2 linked regions of the Lytechinus pictus genome follow. The protein of the gene in region 1 binds, or shares a complex with, the protein of each later gene. Links are inferred from orthologs where the notes say so. Each region holds a gene or a part of one and is shown on either strand. Other genes may lie near its edges.

Region 1 (8,704 bases):
CTCTCACATTTGATACCAAATTCATCATGGTAATATCTATATTTCTGAAGATATAGTAAATTTTACGATGTTTGGCAAGCAAACAATTTTCACTAAATTCCATGGGTGTATGTAAACTTTTGGCCTCAACTGTATGGATTAACCATTGTTTTAACATTTCACGGTTCAGTCAAGTTGGTCCTTGTGATATCTATAAAAATTATATATTTTAGAAGACCCTTGACCCATCATCCTCAACAACACATGGATGTTGTATTACCCAAGGATCATTTGAACCAAGTGTGATCACAATTGATGAAAAAATAAAGAAATGAGAGCAAGTTGAACAAAAAAAATCAAAAAGAGATGGACATGACCTCATATCATTTGACCTTTTGACCCCTAGATCTCATATGTGGTATTACCCAAGGATCATGTAAACCCAGTTGTTGTGTGTCCGGACAGGTTGTGTGTCTGGACAATGATCGATTTTTAAACAGCCATTTGGAAAAAAATTTCATTAATTTTTAGTTCAAAGTGTGAGAAAATAATATAGAGGACAAAATTAGAAAAGATTACAATTATTGAATTATGTAATTTCTGAAGGTTTCTTGGGCAAGTGTTGGTCCTGAAAAGGACCACCCAATCTTGACGTTTCAAGTGTGTTCTTGTCATCTTCAGGAGAATGAGCATAGTTTGTAAAAGCAGGCCTTATATATACTCTGTCAAAGTGCCGTGTGCACGGTACCTAGCAGGGTACTTGTCTCTGATTGGCTAGATATAAGTCACATGACATCCACATATGCAGACGTGGGTGACAACACACAAAATTGGACGCGCAAAACCAGCGACGACCGGAAATGCCGTCAATTATCATTCCTGCTAAGATTAGCATGAATGACAAAAGCCACCACTTCCGCCTGTACACTGCAATGCTCACACGTGTGTGGAACGTCCCGGCAGGCTAATTAGACTAATTAGCCTCTTTGTCTAGAACAGTAAGCCAGATATTGCTGAGTTGGAGGCTGCTGTCTTGAGGAACAGTGTTATGTTCCTCAATCTCCAACGCTTCTCTGACTCTCTGCTGATGGCCACTAGGGGACATGGGTGACCAGTCTACTCTCATCCCAGAGAATCCGGTGATCATGCGTGTGAGCATGATCGATGATTGCAGACTTGTCCCTCTCGTCTCTCCTACCATGGGCCTTGCATGTAGGTTCCTTTAATCCAAGTGTTAAAGGAACGACCCATCTCGCCGATGTAAACTTTACCGCATTCACAAGAAATTTGGTAAACTCCAGGGAGGTCCTTGGAGTTGTGCTTGTCCTTGTGGGTAGTGAGGGCAGATAGAAGCAGATAGAATTTGAGGAACTATGACGAACCTCAATGTCGGCTTCTCTCAAAATCCACTGAATCTTGTGAGAGGCTGCTCCGGTTCCGCGAGGGGGGAAGCTCAGTGCAGATCTTATGTGAGGGGTAGTTGTTACATTTCAGAACAGTTTGATGTGCTCAAGTTCACCTCTCGGGTGGATCTGGTCACTAACCTCATGGGCTCGTTTGACCAACGTCTTGTTGATGGATCTCAGCACTGATGGATGGTGGAATGAACGATAGTTCTAGTACCGATCAATGTGAGTAGGTTTGCCATAAACCTGATGGGATAGGGATCCCTGTGCCGTCCTCGTAATCTTTGTATCAAGAAAGGATATAGACCCCTCATTTTCCATTTCCATGGTGAACTTGATACACTCATGTTAAGAGTTGAGGTGCTGAAGAAATTGTATTGCTAGTTTCCTCAGCTCCATAGTGCCAAACCACAAAAGTGTCAGCCACATATCTAAGCCACACTTTGGGTTTGTGATTGGAGAGCCGTGTCCTCGAAATGTTCCATGAACATTTTGGCTACTACTGGGGACAAGGAAAAACCCATGGCAGCCCCCTCTGTTTGCCTGTAGAATGTATCTCTCCATCTGAAAGAGGTGGAATTGAGCCCGGGGGGCCAGTCAAATATATTGCTGTACACACGCATGACAAAAAAAACGCGTTTAAAGGGGTATTCTTTCGGTTTTTGACGCGGTCCGCGCGTGGACTCGTTAAGAATATCAAAAACACAGATTTTCAGGAAAAAGGGTGGTTTTGAAAGACTGGTCAATGGTCATTCGCGGGGTCAAACGTATTTAGGGTATGTTTTTTCCCAAAGCTTTTTTTTTTAAGACTAGCCAAACTTGTTTAGGGTATTTTTTTTTTCCAAGCTTTTTCCCCCGAGGTCATATTTTGGCGATAACTTGTTAAGGGGCCAAGATGTGTAAATAAAGCCTGCAAAAAACTTGTTTAAGGGGCTATTTTGCACACAGAGAAAAACTTGTTTAGGGGGTGGTCACGCGTGTGTACAGCAATATATTTGACTGCCCCCCCCCCCCCAGGGAATTGAGGCACATCTCAAGCAGGTCATGGATCTCTAGGGGAGACAATTGTGTCCTGTCAGGGAGAGTTCTGTCAAATTTCAATCTCTCAAGGATGATGGCGCAAGCATCCTTAACTGGTACACTCGTGAACAATGACTAAACATCAAAGCTGATGAGATTGGAAAGGAGAACGAACGAGACAGAACTTTTCCTTTTTTTGAGGGTCCAGTTTGTGCCTCGATGTTGGGATTCTGTGTCACGATAGACTTTCATCCATATAATCAAGGTAAGTGCATAATTAACTTTTCCTCTTTTATTTGGGGTGCTATTGCTACCCATTCTACCCCAGTTTATAGAGTACCCTCTGCCTAATATTACACGGACGAGTCCTGGGGCCTGTTTCATGAAATGGTCTTTGGTAGAACCGCTCTACGTATTAAGAACGAGATATCGCTCAACTGTTTCACAAAGCCGATTTGGGCAAGGAAGAATGGTCCTTGGAAAGACACCTTCAGACATGATCTTCTTTGCACACCGCCCGCCACCGTCGGCATTGAGAGAAAATGCGTTTACGGCAAGCCACACTGACATATCACCTTTAAACATTTTTTTGGGGGGGGGTCATTCGATTGCACTCTGATGCATTTTATCTGGGATGGCGCCAAGTTATTTTTTATATGGGGGCTAGTTGTCATCAACGGATGTCATTTTAACTTCTCCGGGGTAATAGGCCCAAATAATTTTATATGTTTTTTTATTATTCTCCCTCCGTCTTTTCCCCATCCCTTTTTTTTTTAATTAAAGGAAACCAAAACCCAAGAAGAGAAGCAATCTTATGGGAAAGAGTAAAATGAGAGGAACGATTTAAAAAAAGTTTAATCAAAATCGGTTGAACATACATATCTATATTTTTTATTTTCTTAAAGTTTATATTCTTATATAAACTTCCATAAAGTTGTCAACTTAAATATGACAAACGTTTATGATCGTTGTCATTTTTAGCATTGTTTCTGTAAATAGTATTTTTTCCATTGCGGATTGATTTCACACATTTTTCTATGTTTTATTATTGCAAAGCACTACTTTACCCACTTGGACATGTTTGCACCAATTTTCATATTTTGCTTGTCTTGGTATGTTTATACTACTCTAAACACTCACATGTATTTCTTGCGTTATATCTGACAAATGAAATAAATAAATTAGATTTTTTACATGCAGTCTCTCATATTTTCCTTTTTAGTCTCATACAATCAGACACATTGACTTTGTTTACTCCATTCAAACCCTTATTTTACCTCAACAAATAACATTTAATGCATAATTTGCAAAATTATCATTATAAATAAGTATTCTATGAAAATACAGATTATTGAACAAATAATACTATGTCGAAATTACTTAGTCAATTCAATTTTTATGTCGGACAAGGGTCTCTTTCGTTAAAATATCAATGAAAGGTGTCTCTAAAGACTAAAAGGACATTGTGTTCTAAACAAATCCATTTATTAAAGGGAAATAATGAAAATCTCGATTTTATCCAGTTTGTTAGTGAATCTTTAAAAAAATTATTTTTCTCTTTTTACCTCATTTATAAATAAAGTAAGCTCCATACATCAATGATCAATTCTACAATCAGTAATAAATAAAACATTATTTGATCTCCATTTATTGAAATATATGGTTTTATGAAAAGTCGTCATTCCGAAATAAAAGGTTCAGGTGATGATGAAGACTAAATATTTTTCTGATAGTATAATAAGTATAACTGTTAGTATCAATTTCAAACGATGTCGCGGACTTGGAAGACAAAATTGCCTTCATGACCCGGAAAGCGCTGATTTGTCGCCAATCTTCCTATCTCGGAAGAATGGTCCTAGCTAGGACGTTCCTATGTATCGCTCATCTCGTCATGCAACAGGCCCAAGCTCATCGTGAAACAGGCCCCTGGCCTGGGCTCCCTGGGGCCGATTGCACAAAAGGGTCTTTCCAAGGACCGTCTTTCGTGTCGCCCATCTTTTATGATACGCCATGTAAAACGCATTTCAAATAAATTATCTGCAAATATATTTTATTTGTCCGTTAAAATAAACAAAATATTTGTTAATAAAATGATGTGATATCTCATTTTGTATAAAATTTGATTTAAAAGCAAGCTTACGAATTTTATTTGTTTATCATAAATTTCAGAAACACCCCGCTTACAGCGCATCATAAAAGATGGGCGACACGAAAGACGGTCCTTGGAAAGACCCTTTCGTGCAATCGGCCCCTGGGTAACTTAAGTTAGGGGACCACGGCACCATATGTATTGCCTGTCAGTGTCAGACTCAGTGTCAACTCACATTCACAACAACTGAGGCATGTGAGGTGAGGCAGCTCAAGGCAAACAAAGTTTAAGAAGCTCTCAATAAAAAGAAATGAACTTCCACAACATGCAAAAATTCCATATTAATTTATACTCACCTTAAGATATCCGGTCAGCAAAAAAAATGTAGTTATTGACTTAAAAACACTTTTAATGTCCTTGGTTTTCCCCACAGCACAGCCACAGCCACCACAGTCCACACAGATACAGGATACAGGTTTGGAGGTGTGTCCGATACGAGTATTTTGATTGGTTGAACACGAATGACAGAAAAATCCCAGACCCTAATTTTAAAAAAAAAAATTCACTAGATTTGTTTCTCTATTTCCAAACGACATCATTAAAATAGATACTTAAATCATTTTCAAAAGAAATGAAAAGCGTCATGAATTTCAGTTGTTCTTTGAAGTCTTTGAATTCTTAACAACTATAGTTTCATATTTTAAATCGAAAGCCTTGAAATTAATATCGATTCCGATCCCATGCATGCACTGCATGCACTGCACTGTACTAGCTCTCGAGTACTCGCTTCTTTCATTTCAACGAAAATGTGAAAATGGCTGAAAGCAAAGCGTCGACGTTTTCTGGACCACCCGGTCAATCGTCAGCTAATCAAGGATACAAGATGGCAATGGCCCCGTATCAAAAAGGGGGAGAATCCATGGAATTCAAATATTGTGAAGAAGTCACTAAATATGAAAAATTAGCAAAGATAGGCCAGGGAACATTTGGGTAAGTTACCGAAATAGAACTGTAGCGCAACATGCAAACCTTGGACCACAACAGAGCATGTCTTTTGCACATGTATTGGATGGAGAATATCACGATTTCGTGTTGCGGTAATTCATATTGCACAAGAGAAAAATCACCAAATTTGACAGCATCGCAGCCATTTGTGTGACTAGTCACTAGTGGCCTTATCGTGAAATTTGCTTCGACTTAATCACCTCTCTTCTCTCGTGTGTGTAGCCAGGAGGCTCCTAGTCCTAGACCTAGGCTAGATAGTAAAAATCATTCACTAATGTGTGCTTACTCTCCACTTACTAGGCCAGGGATTGCGTCCCATTCATCATGTGCATGTACCGCGAAAAAACTGAAATTTTCACCCCCTGGCCCCAGATTAAATACTTTCCTTCAACAGATCTAGCCATGATGGTCCTGGCTAAATGTAGGGATTCCACTGTGGGTGCTGCACTTACTATCTTACAAAAAATAAAAATAAATCATCATGATCATGCACGCGCGTTATGATGTCATCGGGAATAGTTGTGTTTCTTAATTCTTTCAGTTTCAGCATTCATGAGTCATCGGTCATGACATGATTAGAATGTACAAAAAAGATGCATTAAAAAATGAAATCTGGCCTTATTTTTTTTTTTTACATTATTAATCTGTGATGAATGAATTTCGAATATGATACTTTGCTTACCTGAGTCATGAACGATGTTTCTGATTTTAAAGGATTTCAGGAGTCATATTTCCATGCTCATTTGCTGAATGAAGTCGAAAAAAACGGACGCATTCCAAATTTCTAGAGGCCGACAGATTAAAAATCTTTAAAAGTCTTTGCACTGACAACTGCAATGACATGTGATAAAAATAATTAAATGGCCACCCCTAGACAAAAGTGAAATGAACCTGCCGTGGAATGTCAAAGTCAGGTGAAGTATTTGAATGAGAGTTACAGCATAAAAACATGATAACTTCTTAAAATAAGAGTTTTTAATGCTTGGCATGTGCAGTTGTGCTGAAAGGTAAAAAAAATGTTTACGAATCATTTTAAAATTGCTTTTAGCAAAATATTTTCAAGGATAAGCAAACGCAAAGAAAAAAAACTGATTTGTGACGTCATCAGCTCATGAAAATTCATCGTATCCCACGATACGGCATCTGGATACGGTGATGTAATTTTATGCAACTAAATTTGCGCGAACAGTCATTTTATGAATTATGGTTTTCAGAATATGTAATGTGCGTTAACAAAATCTATGTTGACCTAATGAGTTTTTTTATGTCTATTTAATGCTTCTTTGGCCCCACAGCCGTAACGGTTGCGCGAATTGTGATTGAAGCAGAAAATTAAGGCACTACTGATATATCAATTAAAAAAATGTCAAAGGAAAGGAATTAAAGTCAATCTCATTTTATACTAACAGTTTATAGATTTATTCACATCGATAATATTGATAAATTTACTCCATACTTTCCAATGTCTAGATCTCTACATCCTTAGAAAGTGCGATTAATTTTGTGAATGCATGTTGCTTCTTATGTCAATGACCAACTACGTTGATCTACGGACCGTATGCGTAGCCCCTTGCCTATAAACCTGTAAAGACATAGGTGAAATCAAACAATTCATCCAACGATATTCAAATTATACTAGCAACTCATGTGGGCGTGAACAAACGAAATACATATCCTCTAAAACGTTCAAACATATAAACTTCAATAATTTATACTTGAAATGAATATCTATGAATAAATTGTTAATTCCACTCTATCAGAAATATGTTTAACAAAGTATTGTTATTATGTTGAATGTGTACTTCTAAATCTATTAAATCACGTACCCCTCCAGACCCAAGGTGGATTTCCCAATTGTCATGAAGATTATTCAGCCACAATCACAGCAGACACATCCATAAATGAATATTAATTTCATTCACTCCGAACATTGACTTCTTTTCGCCAATCCCCTCCCCCACAAACATCCCATCATTTCCATTTACATTGCCCATGACGACCCTCATATTCTCTCTTTCTCCTTTACACAGATTAATTTCAAATAATATTTTATTTTAAATCGTAATTGTTAAGCACATGTACAACAAATTCATAAAGTATTCACTGTGATGACTAAAAACATTTCTTGGGACAGTGACATGCGCGTTCATTATCTAATTGGCGGGCAAAGAGCAATAAAGAACAATACAAATGAAAATACACTGTACCGAACGTATATAACTCACATTAAAAATGAGTCGTAATATGATAAATAGTATGAATAATATAAATAAAATCATTACTTAGGGAAATTATAATAGATTCAATGAATATCTGGAAAAAAAATAATAATTCAAATTAAATTAGTTTTGGACCCCATCTAATTTTGGAAGACTCTAATCAAGGATTTTGATGCCATGTGCGATTTGTAGTTCATCCTAACATCGTTTACCACATAATATCACCCATAGCAACCATCACATCCAGATGTCACTCTGACAAAATAACAAAATATACACTATTTTGGGATATAGCCTGCCGAGCTACTAGCACGTAGATACGGCATTTATTTCACATAAATTATCAACACTTTCATTTTTCAAAGTATGAAAACAACTTCTAATAAATTCTGTCTGAGAATCATACATATATAATGTTTTTATACCTCTTAACATTAATCATGTGAAGTCATAACTAATTAAACTGTTATGCCCTAACCCTAATTATGCCCGGGTTTAAAAAAACAGATATAAAACTGAATCAGCACTAAACTCTGAAAAAACCGTATGGCCACCGCAATTTAAACTTTGATGCAACAACGTCTCCTACCAATTATCATTTTTTAATTCACTCTATAAAAAGAACTCCATATTAAAAAACGTGCTAGTGTGCGGTCCTTGGAAAGCTAGAATGACTTCCCCTACAACACCACACCCTTATCTCGCATCCCCTCTTTTCATATTCAAATGAAACACCTTCGACGCAACGGAATTGAATAATTCCGTCACGCATGCCGGAGAACAATTAGTGTTCACCACTTATTGCCGTATAAACAACAGTGGAGGAGCCGTGGTGTAGTGGTTCTGACTCTCACCTTGCAAACAGAGGGTCGTGTGTTCGAATCCCACCGCGGTCTGGCGTCCTTTGGCAAGGCGTTAATCCACACTTTGCCACTCTCGACCCAGGTGCTAAATGGGTACCCGGTAGGATGTGAAAGTCATTGTAG
Region 2 (8,754 bases), on another chromosome or scaffold:
CTGAGATATACGGCCGTCCACGAAATATGGTCATGCGCGAAGTAAGGTCACATGACCATACTTTTCACTTACCCATCACCCTGAATAATACGGCGAACAATGTCAATGATGACCAACGATATGCAGTGTGCACATATGTGATGCACTAAATATAGCTGCGTTTTCTTTTCCGAACATTTCCGAATAAAAAATGTGTACGATGATCAAAACACGATGATCAAAACGAACAAGATAATTCTCAAATCGGAGAGTACCCGAGAGCAACAAAACCTCTGTACCCGGGGGACGTTGTTTACACTATGAGAAAACCTACTAAAAACAACAACTCCTGAGTATTCATTGAAAATAAAGAATAATAAATTTGTTGCTATTGATACCCATTCTTTTGTACGCACAGATATCGCCCGACGATGAAACTTAAACCGGCTTTACGAGTTTTCTTGGACAATCATGTTGTGCATCTTTGAAAGGAAGTGGCTCCCCCCGAACGTATTATGGTACAGGGGTCAAAAAACGTCATCAATCACGTGACATATAATAAAAAAACGTATTTTCTTTGTAATCAGTTTCAACTTTTTTAATTTCAAGTCAGTGATATGTAAGTTAAACCATTAAGTGTTGTATCCATGTATTTCCCCAAAAAAATAAAAAATGCCAACATTAAAAACGAGCGTTATTTAGTGACGACAAAGATCTGCTAACGAAAGTATATGAAATGTTTCGAAAAAGCTTAAGATGTAAAGAGCGCTGCACACGGCGTTCCAGGAATAGGGCGTCCAGTCAAAATAGAATTTATATAGAATATGTAAGTCATGAACATGCTGTTTTCTGCATCCTCTCGTGTAGGTTGTTTAATTATTATTGTAATAAAAAATATTATTGTCGAAATAATTATTAGGCCTATAATTATAATCATTTTTATTATTATGATTACAATTATTTTCATGATAATTATTATTGTTGTCTCATTAATATTGTCTCACACCCCTGTACAATCATAATTATCATAATAATTATAATTACATTTTATAATAATAATTATTATCATTGTTATCTCGATAATTTTCAGGCCTATAATTATAATTATTTTTATAATAATTATCAAATAATTATTTCATTGTCTCAATAATATTATCATTGTCTCATCATTATTGCCTCATTATTGTCTTATCTCATTATTTCATAATTTCTTCGAAATAATAATTAACACCATAACAAAGGTCTATAATCAGATATCAAATTCATGAAACATCTCAAACCTTTTCTAAATTAAAATTCATGAAAAGGGCTTCCTGTGCCATTCAAGAATAGGACTTCCATTAACAATACCATATTCTAGACATTCAGACGCATTCTAACAAAAAATCACTTACATGTATCAAACAAAATTCTTGAATTTTACTTAAAGTTTTGCTCTGAATACTTATTTTGCACAAATTCTACAAAATTATTTTCAAAATAACAATTAAAATTTCATAATTACGAGAGCTCAAATCGTAATTTAAAAATATATACAACAAATGAAACCAAATGTGTCTGAATATCCAGACTAATCTCGATGCCCATAGCAGCGGGGATGACGTCACTCACAGCTTCTCCTACGGTCAAAACAACACCCCTGCTTGATCAGTGAGTCAGATTTGAAAACACCTCACAACACTCAAAATTGAAGTTCAAAACCGCTGGCTCTTTGCGAACAAAATTCGATAAAACTTTCATAAAATGTTCTCATGCAATTATACACCGAGTTTTACTAAAATCCGATGATACAAGAAGGCGATTACAAGCAAAGAGAAGAAATACCTTAAAGGGGAATGAAACCCTTGGAACAAGTGGACTTGTATGGAAAGAGAAAAATCAAAGAATAAGAACAAAGAGAGTTTGAGAAAAATCGGACAAATAATGAGAAAGTTATGAACATTTGAATATTGCGATCACTAATGCTATGGAGATCCTCTCATTGGCAATGCGACAAATATGTGTGATGTCACACGTGAACAACTTTCCATTTGATGGACTATAAAATACCCCTAAACTGTCTCTTTTGGCTCTTGCTTGTGGTGATTCAAACTCTTTATCCACAATATATTACTTGAAAATCTGTATTGCAAGCCCTCATATAGAAAGAATTCATAATCAACTGATAGATGTGATAAAAGAGGCATTTTAAGTGAAATATATACAAATGCAATGGGAAAGTTGTTCACATGTGACATCACGCATCATTGTTGCATTGCCAATGGGAGGATCTACATTACAATAATGATCTAAACTTCAAATGCTTATAATTTTCTTATTATTTATTCAATTTTTCTCAAACTTTTGTTGATCTGTTTCTTTGACTTTTCTGTTTTCACATCAGCTACATGTATCTTGTTCCAAAGGTTTCATTTTCCTTTGATCATGTTGATATTGTATGTAGCCTAGGTAGGTCTTTCCATCGCACGAAGGTAAGTGAAACTCTGTGTTGTATATTTCCGAATTCCGATGTTTACAGAAGATGTAAGAAGCAACCACAAGAATTTTTAACCAATCAAAATCAGCGGAATAAAAGGAAGAAACTGACTGTTTTTTCGAGCTACATGTATTCATAATGCCACTCCAGCACTCGGCTGAAGTGACGAGCATAGCTAGCGAACTGTCTGTGTTAGATATGCGCTCACCATTCACTGCAATGCAAAATCTACGTCCAGCTGATCTGTCCGCATGATCGCTCGCGCAACTGAAGTGCCTACTTAAGGGCCATTCAATTAAGGTGGGACCAATCTAATTCTAACTTCCGTAACTTGCGTAAGGGCACTGCACAGTGCAGTGTCTCACTCTCAGTGAGTTAAAAAAAAATTATGTTATTTAAATTCTAATAAGTAATAGTATTGTAATAAGACTAACTTAGATCTAGATCTATAGACTAATTCCATTTCCAAGCCAAGCCAAGCCAAGGCAAGGCCAGACCAGGCCAGGCCTAAGCATGCTAAGTAAATCTAAAATCATTTATCAATCGCCGGACAGCATTTCTGAAGATGCATATAATAATGTCGACTACAAGTACAAGTTACAACACTGCATGCCATTTTGATCACCAGTGAATACAATTCTGATGCACACATATCCATACAGAAAATCACAGTTCTGTGATACACTCACTCACATTACACATGAGCCAAAGAAGCCCCAGCGAGACACTCAGGTCTCAGTCTCAGATAGATTTTCATACGGTACTGCCGGTAGGCTATACCGATTACCTACCGGCAACTAGTCACACTATCATGACTGTTTAGATCTAACGTTCGGCCCCTAATAAAAACATCGTCAAAACTAGTACCGGTACCAACACTAAACAGATCAAAGTGGAATACACGCTTATTTCTCGTCACTAACCTTTATGTTAGTGACTGTTACGGCGATTCTGAAGGTCTGTATCTTGTTGTTTATAATTCACTGAATTTTGCAATTTATCATCCACAAATGAGCAGTCCACGTCGACAGTTGCTGAACGTCTGCGTTTGTTGATAATACGGTACCGGTATACCGCACTCACGCGAATGTAACCATATGGGACTGTTTTCTTGACAAGCCTTGTCTTTGACTTTGCTGCCTTGGCTTGACTTTCAGTAGGAGTTGACTCTCGGTAGTGTTTCTTCGTATGGAGTCGAATTTTTCGTGACGCTGGGAAAAACACCGGAAAAATAACATTCATGACCAAAAAAAATCCGAGGAATTAAATTTAAAAAAAATTTGCTCCCGCCCGATGAGGGACTCGAACCCGCGACCCTCAGATTAAAAGTCTGATGCTCTACCGACTGAGCTAACCGGGCTTTGGCTGAAGGGATGGGTTTCTTATAGTATATAATGGTTAGGTGGCGGGCATGCAATTTGGAGTCTCGGCATGAGAACAAACCATCAGACTCTCAAGTACGGCAGCCAATCAGCACCGTATTTGCGCAATTATCTCTATCGAAAATTAACCAATAAAGCGAGGGGATTCTATCGAAATATGACAGCTCAGCTTGCTCGCTCCAAATCCACACACTGCCGATCGGAAGTTCATAGATATCTCATGGAGCTCATGGATATCTCATTCAGACATCGCAGCTCGGGTGGGGTGGGGACTCCAGTCGGATGTCCCCCCCCCCCCCAGAAAAAAAAGGAATTAGAGGGGGAGGGGAAGAAATAGGGCCTTTGTAGGAAAATGCTCTGTTGAGATCAGTGGCGTAATGACCCCCCAAAAAAATTAGGGGGCAAGATGTGGCATATATTTGTGAATTTTGACCATTCAAATTACAAGAATCAAATTTTTTAATAGATTTTTTAAACATAATATTAAAAAAACATTATCATAATACACCCTACTATTTTACCTTTTTTCTTGGTTGTGAAAAATATGGAGCACAAGCATCCACAAGCCCCCACCCATCTTTATTGAAGTTTGATTTTATAATAGCACTAGTGTGAAAATGAGCGTCCAATCGGCTGGCAAACAAAAAGAAAAAAAGAAAGGGAGAAACAGAAAAGAAACAGTATCATGGGTGCCCGGGGGGGGGGGGGGAGGCATGGGTATAAAGCTTACAAAAAGGAAATATTTTAGACGTAGTTTTCGGCCGGGACTCGATCCCTTAGATTCCTATCCCGCACAAACGTACTTCATGAAATACAGGCTTCTGATTATTTAAAGGAGCTCGAGTGCAAGAGGTCATTTTCTTAATGAAATGATCGAGTTACATATGGCCCCAGACCTTTTTATACTCTTTTTCTTCGAGTTCTAAAATTAGGCCTACAATATGTCTAATATCCCTATATTTTTCTTTTCACTGCACACATAATGATTGTATAAATTTCCTAAAACTGTCTTGGTGTGGATGGAATGATAAATAGTAAACCCTTGCTTCAGTTTAATGGGTGTATTTAAAAATTTTACAAGAAAATTTGTTTTGATCGGATGCCCGTTCAAAATCTGGGGGTTTCCTCCTGCACATAATGTATGCACTTTCTCCACTCTCTTGCATGGAGAGCAGTCAAACCAGAGTTGCAAGACTCAATTGCTATAAATTGGTATAAAATGGTCTTTGTGGTTAGCTTTCTGAAATCCTATTTACAGATAGGTCTTCAATTCTCCTTTTCAACAACAAAAATATTAAGAAAGTGTGCTGGATATAAACAAACTCTCCCATTCAAGTGTTAAACAGCACGCCATTAAACATTATTTTGTGAGATTTGAACACTATGATTCTCAAGTACTCTTCACCAAAGCTATATAGACATGCTTTTTTTGTGTGTCCTTTTGAAACTTTTTATTGATTACACAATCGTTACGTATAACAATAATCATACAATGAATCTAATTTTCTTGGCTTGATCTGCCGCTGCGATCGACTCATTAAATCAATCAGCATCAGTCTATCGAGGCAATACTTTTTGGAGAAGTATACTGATTTAGTTAAAACAAACAAAAAACAAAACATAATTAATTAACTCGCAAAGAGTTACACACGAGATACAATTAATGTAATACGAACATGCAATTTAGAACTGTATGGTCAAGCCCGTAGCTAGGGGGTGGGGAGGGGTCGGCCCGATCGAACACCCCCCCCCCCCCCAATTTTCAAAAGCAAGAAAAAATAAGGGAAAAAACAGAAATTCGCTTTTTTCATTTTTTTTTATTGTCAAATTTTTCATCAACGAAAGAGAAGGAATCGACACCCCCATTGAAAATCCTGGCTACGGGGCTGATGGCCATTATCAAAGGATCAAATTACACGAAATAAAACAAAATACCCTCATTAGAAAATTTTACAGAACATCTGAAAATGACGATGGAAATAATTTAGTGTTACTAAGGCTCTTAAAAATATCATCATTAAGCCTTATTTGATTAGTAATGATAACCATTCATAGTTAAACGTTTATACTTTCGTTTTCGTTGTTGTAATATTGTATAATTAATAATATATCTCGTTAAAATCTAGATCTATAGAATGATTTGAATAAATGAAGAAAAAAAACAGAAATAAAACTTCGAATTAAATTCAAAAGTTCTAGTTTTTCTTGGTTACCACTTTTCGTAAAACAGTTATACATTAATAGTTAGGATGTAATAGTAAATCTTCATGATGTCGATTTTTTAAAATTTATTTTCAAATCTGCTATTTGTATCTTAAAGGTCAAGACTACAACACAAAAAAAATGATTTTTATACACTGAGAAAAAAATCAACCCTGAAATTCCAGGAGGTGGAAAAATTTGAAAAAATTGTTGAACGGAAATAAAATCTAAAAAATCTATAAAAAAAAGGTGTACAAATAAGGGACCGATTTCATTAGAGAATCCGTAACAAGCTTCTGCGAGAGCTGGGTCCCGTCATACAAAGAGTTGCAATTGATTCAATCAATCGCAAATATGGAAAGCCAGCAAAGTCAACATACAAAATGCATGTTTATTTTTTACCTAAATTCTAGATATGAATGTATATCCATAAATTCATTGATTTCTTGACAATTTGGTGTGATCTCCTTTGTTTACAAAGTACATTTTGCAAATTTCCTGTAGAAAAAAATATGACACTGATAGATTTCCATAGTAGAGTTACAGCAGGTGGGATCAATCGTAACTCTATGGAAATCCATCAGTGTCATAATTTTTTTCTATAGGGAATTCGCACAATCTCCTTAAAACAAAGAGAATCACACTGAATCTTCAATAGAACTATAAAATATATGAAAGTACATCATATCTAGAGAATATTTTAAACAAATTTGATTTTTTTTTAGTTGATGTTGTTTGCCATCCATATAGTTGTGATTGATCGGATTGATCGTAACTCTTTGTGAGACAAGGCCCAGATCATGACACATACTCACCCTATGATTATTTAACAATTATTCCAAAATAATGCAAATTATTTTTGCATTCTAAAGTTTTGTTATGTTTTCATCGAATATATGAAAATGAGCGGCTGTGCATAATTCAGTTGAGAGCATCCGAATTTTGAATCCAAATGATTTACTTTTATTTATTTATTTATTCAAATATATTTATTCAGGATGACAAGATCAGTTAAAAAACTGTTTTACATCATGGTCCTGACAAATCTCAAAAGCTTCAAGTCAAAATCTTTTAGATTTAAATCCGGATCCACAAGCATGGCAAGGTTAAATATCTTTCAGCTAGTTTCTAATCATAAAAAAAAAAATCTTCGACAATAAAACATGTTTAAATTCTAAATACATCAATTCATGCTATAGTTGTTTATAAATATTTGTATATTTCACAAAATATTTAATGTATATGATCTAGATTCATACATTTATACTTAAATGACAAGTCCATCCCAACAAAAAGTTAATTCAAATAACAAGAATAAAATCAAAATCAAGCATAATACTGAAAATTTCATCAAAATCGGATGTAAAATAAGAAAGTTATGACATTATAAATTTCGCTTATACCGGTAGGTATGCAAATGAGGGAACTGATTACATCACTCACTCACTATTTCTTTTGTATTTTATTATATAAAATATTCTAATTTTCTCCCCATTGTCCTGTGAAACAAAGTTTTATTTCTCCCTAAACATATGGAATTACCAGTGTTTAACATTAATATGGTTTAGTCAAAATGGTCCTTATTGTCAAATCTGTAAAAATTGAAATATTTGTATAATTCAAACAATAAAATACAAAAGAAATAGTGAGTGAGGGACATCATCGATTCTCACATTTACATGTGACTGATTTGTGCATATAACCTTTTTGTGAAAAATAACCGATGCTATAAAATGTCATAACTTTCTTATTTTACATCCGATTTTGATGAAATTTTCAATGTTATGCTTGCTTGATTTTTCTCTATTGATTCAAATAAAAAAAATTATTGGGTGGACTTGACCTTCAATTTTAAAAATGAATTATGTATGTCAATAGTTTCATTATTTATTACAGTACAAACAGATGTCCCATATGCTATGCGATCTTAAACATGTTAAACGGTCCCTGTAACCTGGAAAAAATGACCTATAGAAGAAATCGGTTTTCGTTCACAATTATGTAGACATCTAGAAATCATAAACATTTATAATAATTTTAAAAAGTGTCGAGAAGATTACTCAGAATCACCATTATAAAATCGATCATCCGTTGTGGAGACAATGACAGTAAATATTATAAGTTGGTTTTCTCTCCTGCAGAGTCTCAGGCATTTTCTTCTAACGTTCTCTTGTGGTATAAGAATGCTTGAAAGGCCCTCTTTCCTTCCTGAAATTTAGAAACAAATAACATTTATAGGCCTAATGATGATAACAAAAATCTGAATTGAGGATCAGTTGTAGCTCCCAGGGAAGAAACAAGCAGGGTTTGAACAGTTCAGAAGGGGGCATTTTCTGCAGAGCAAAAAGAAAAAAGAATATTGGAGTAAAGGGGCTCTTCGGCCTCCTGGATCCGCCCATGTATCCCCTCATTTATATCTTTATTCCTGACCATTTTGTTGACTTACCAATAGGGTATATTTTGTATTGGCATGTAAAATTGATTGTGATTTAATTCATTGTTTCAAATAAATGTTTTAAAACAATAATATATGCGGGGACTCATATTATGATAATGAGGGGAGCAATAACAAACTCTTATACAAGTTATAAGGGGAGCGGTAGGGGAGCACTGCAAAAAGCTCTTCGACATACAAGGGGAACTTTTTTTGTCTGATTACAAAATGGATTGAGGAACCAAAACCACAACTAAGGAGACAAACAATCAGATGTATAT

Evidence for each region.
Region 2: cyclin-dependent kinase 9-like (region 1) and ELL-associated factor 2-like share a complex: the UniProt entries of both Homo sapiens proteins name them as parts of the super elongation complex. The link is inferred for Lytechinus pictus from reciprocal best matches to the Homo sapiens genes CDK9 and EAF2.

The regions. Positions count from the first base shown.
Region 1 is NC_087259.1:1,407,423-1,416,126, reverse strand, and holds the start of cyclin-dependent kinase 9-like, read left to right. Parts: upstream 1-5,007; 5' UTR 5,008-5,308; coding exon 5,309-5,484; intron 5,485-5,493; exon of another isoform or gene 5,494-5,772; intron 5,773-5,796; exon of another isoform or gene 5,797-5,922; intron 5,923-8,704. UniProt on the Homo sapiens protein: Protein kinase involved in the regulation of transcription.
Region 2 is NC_087257.1:29,619,836-29,628,589, reverse strand, and holds the start of ELL-associated factor 2-like, read right to left. Parts: upstream 3,823-8,754; 5' UTR 3,379-3,822; exon of another isoform or gene 3,149-3,378; intron 1-3,148. UniProt on the Homo sapiens protein: Acts as a transcriptional transactivator of TCEA1 elongation activity. Acts as a transcriptional transactivator of ELL and ELL2 elongation activities. Potent inducer of apoptosis in prostatic and non-prostatic cell lines.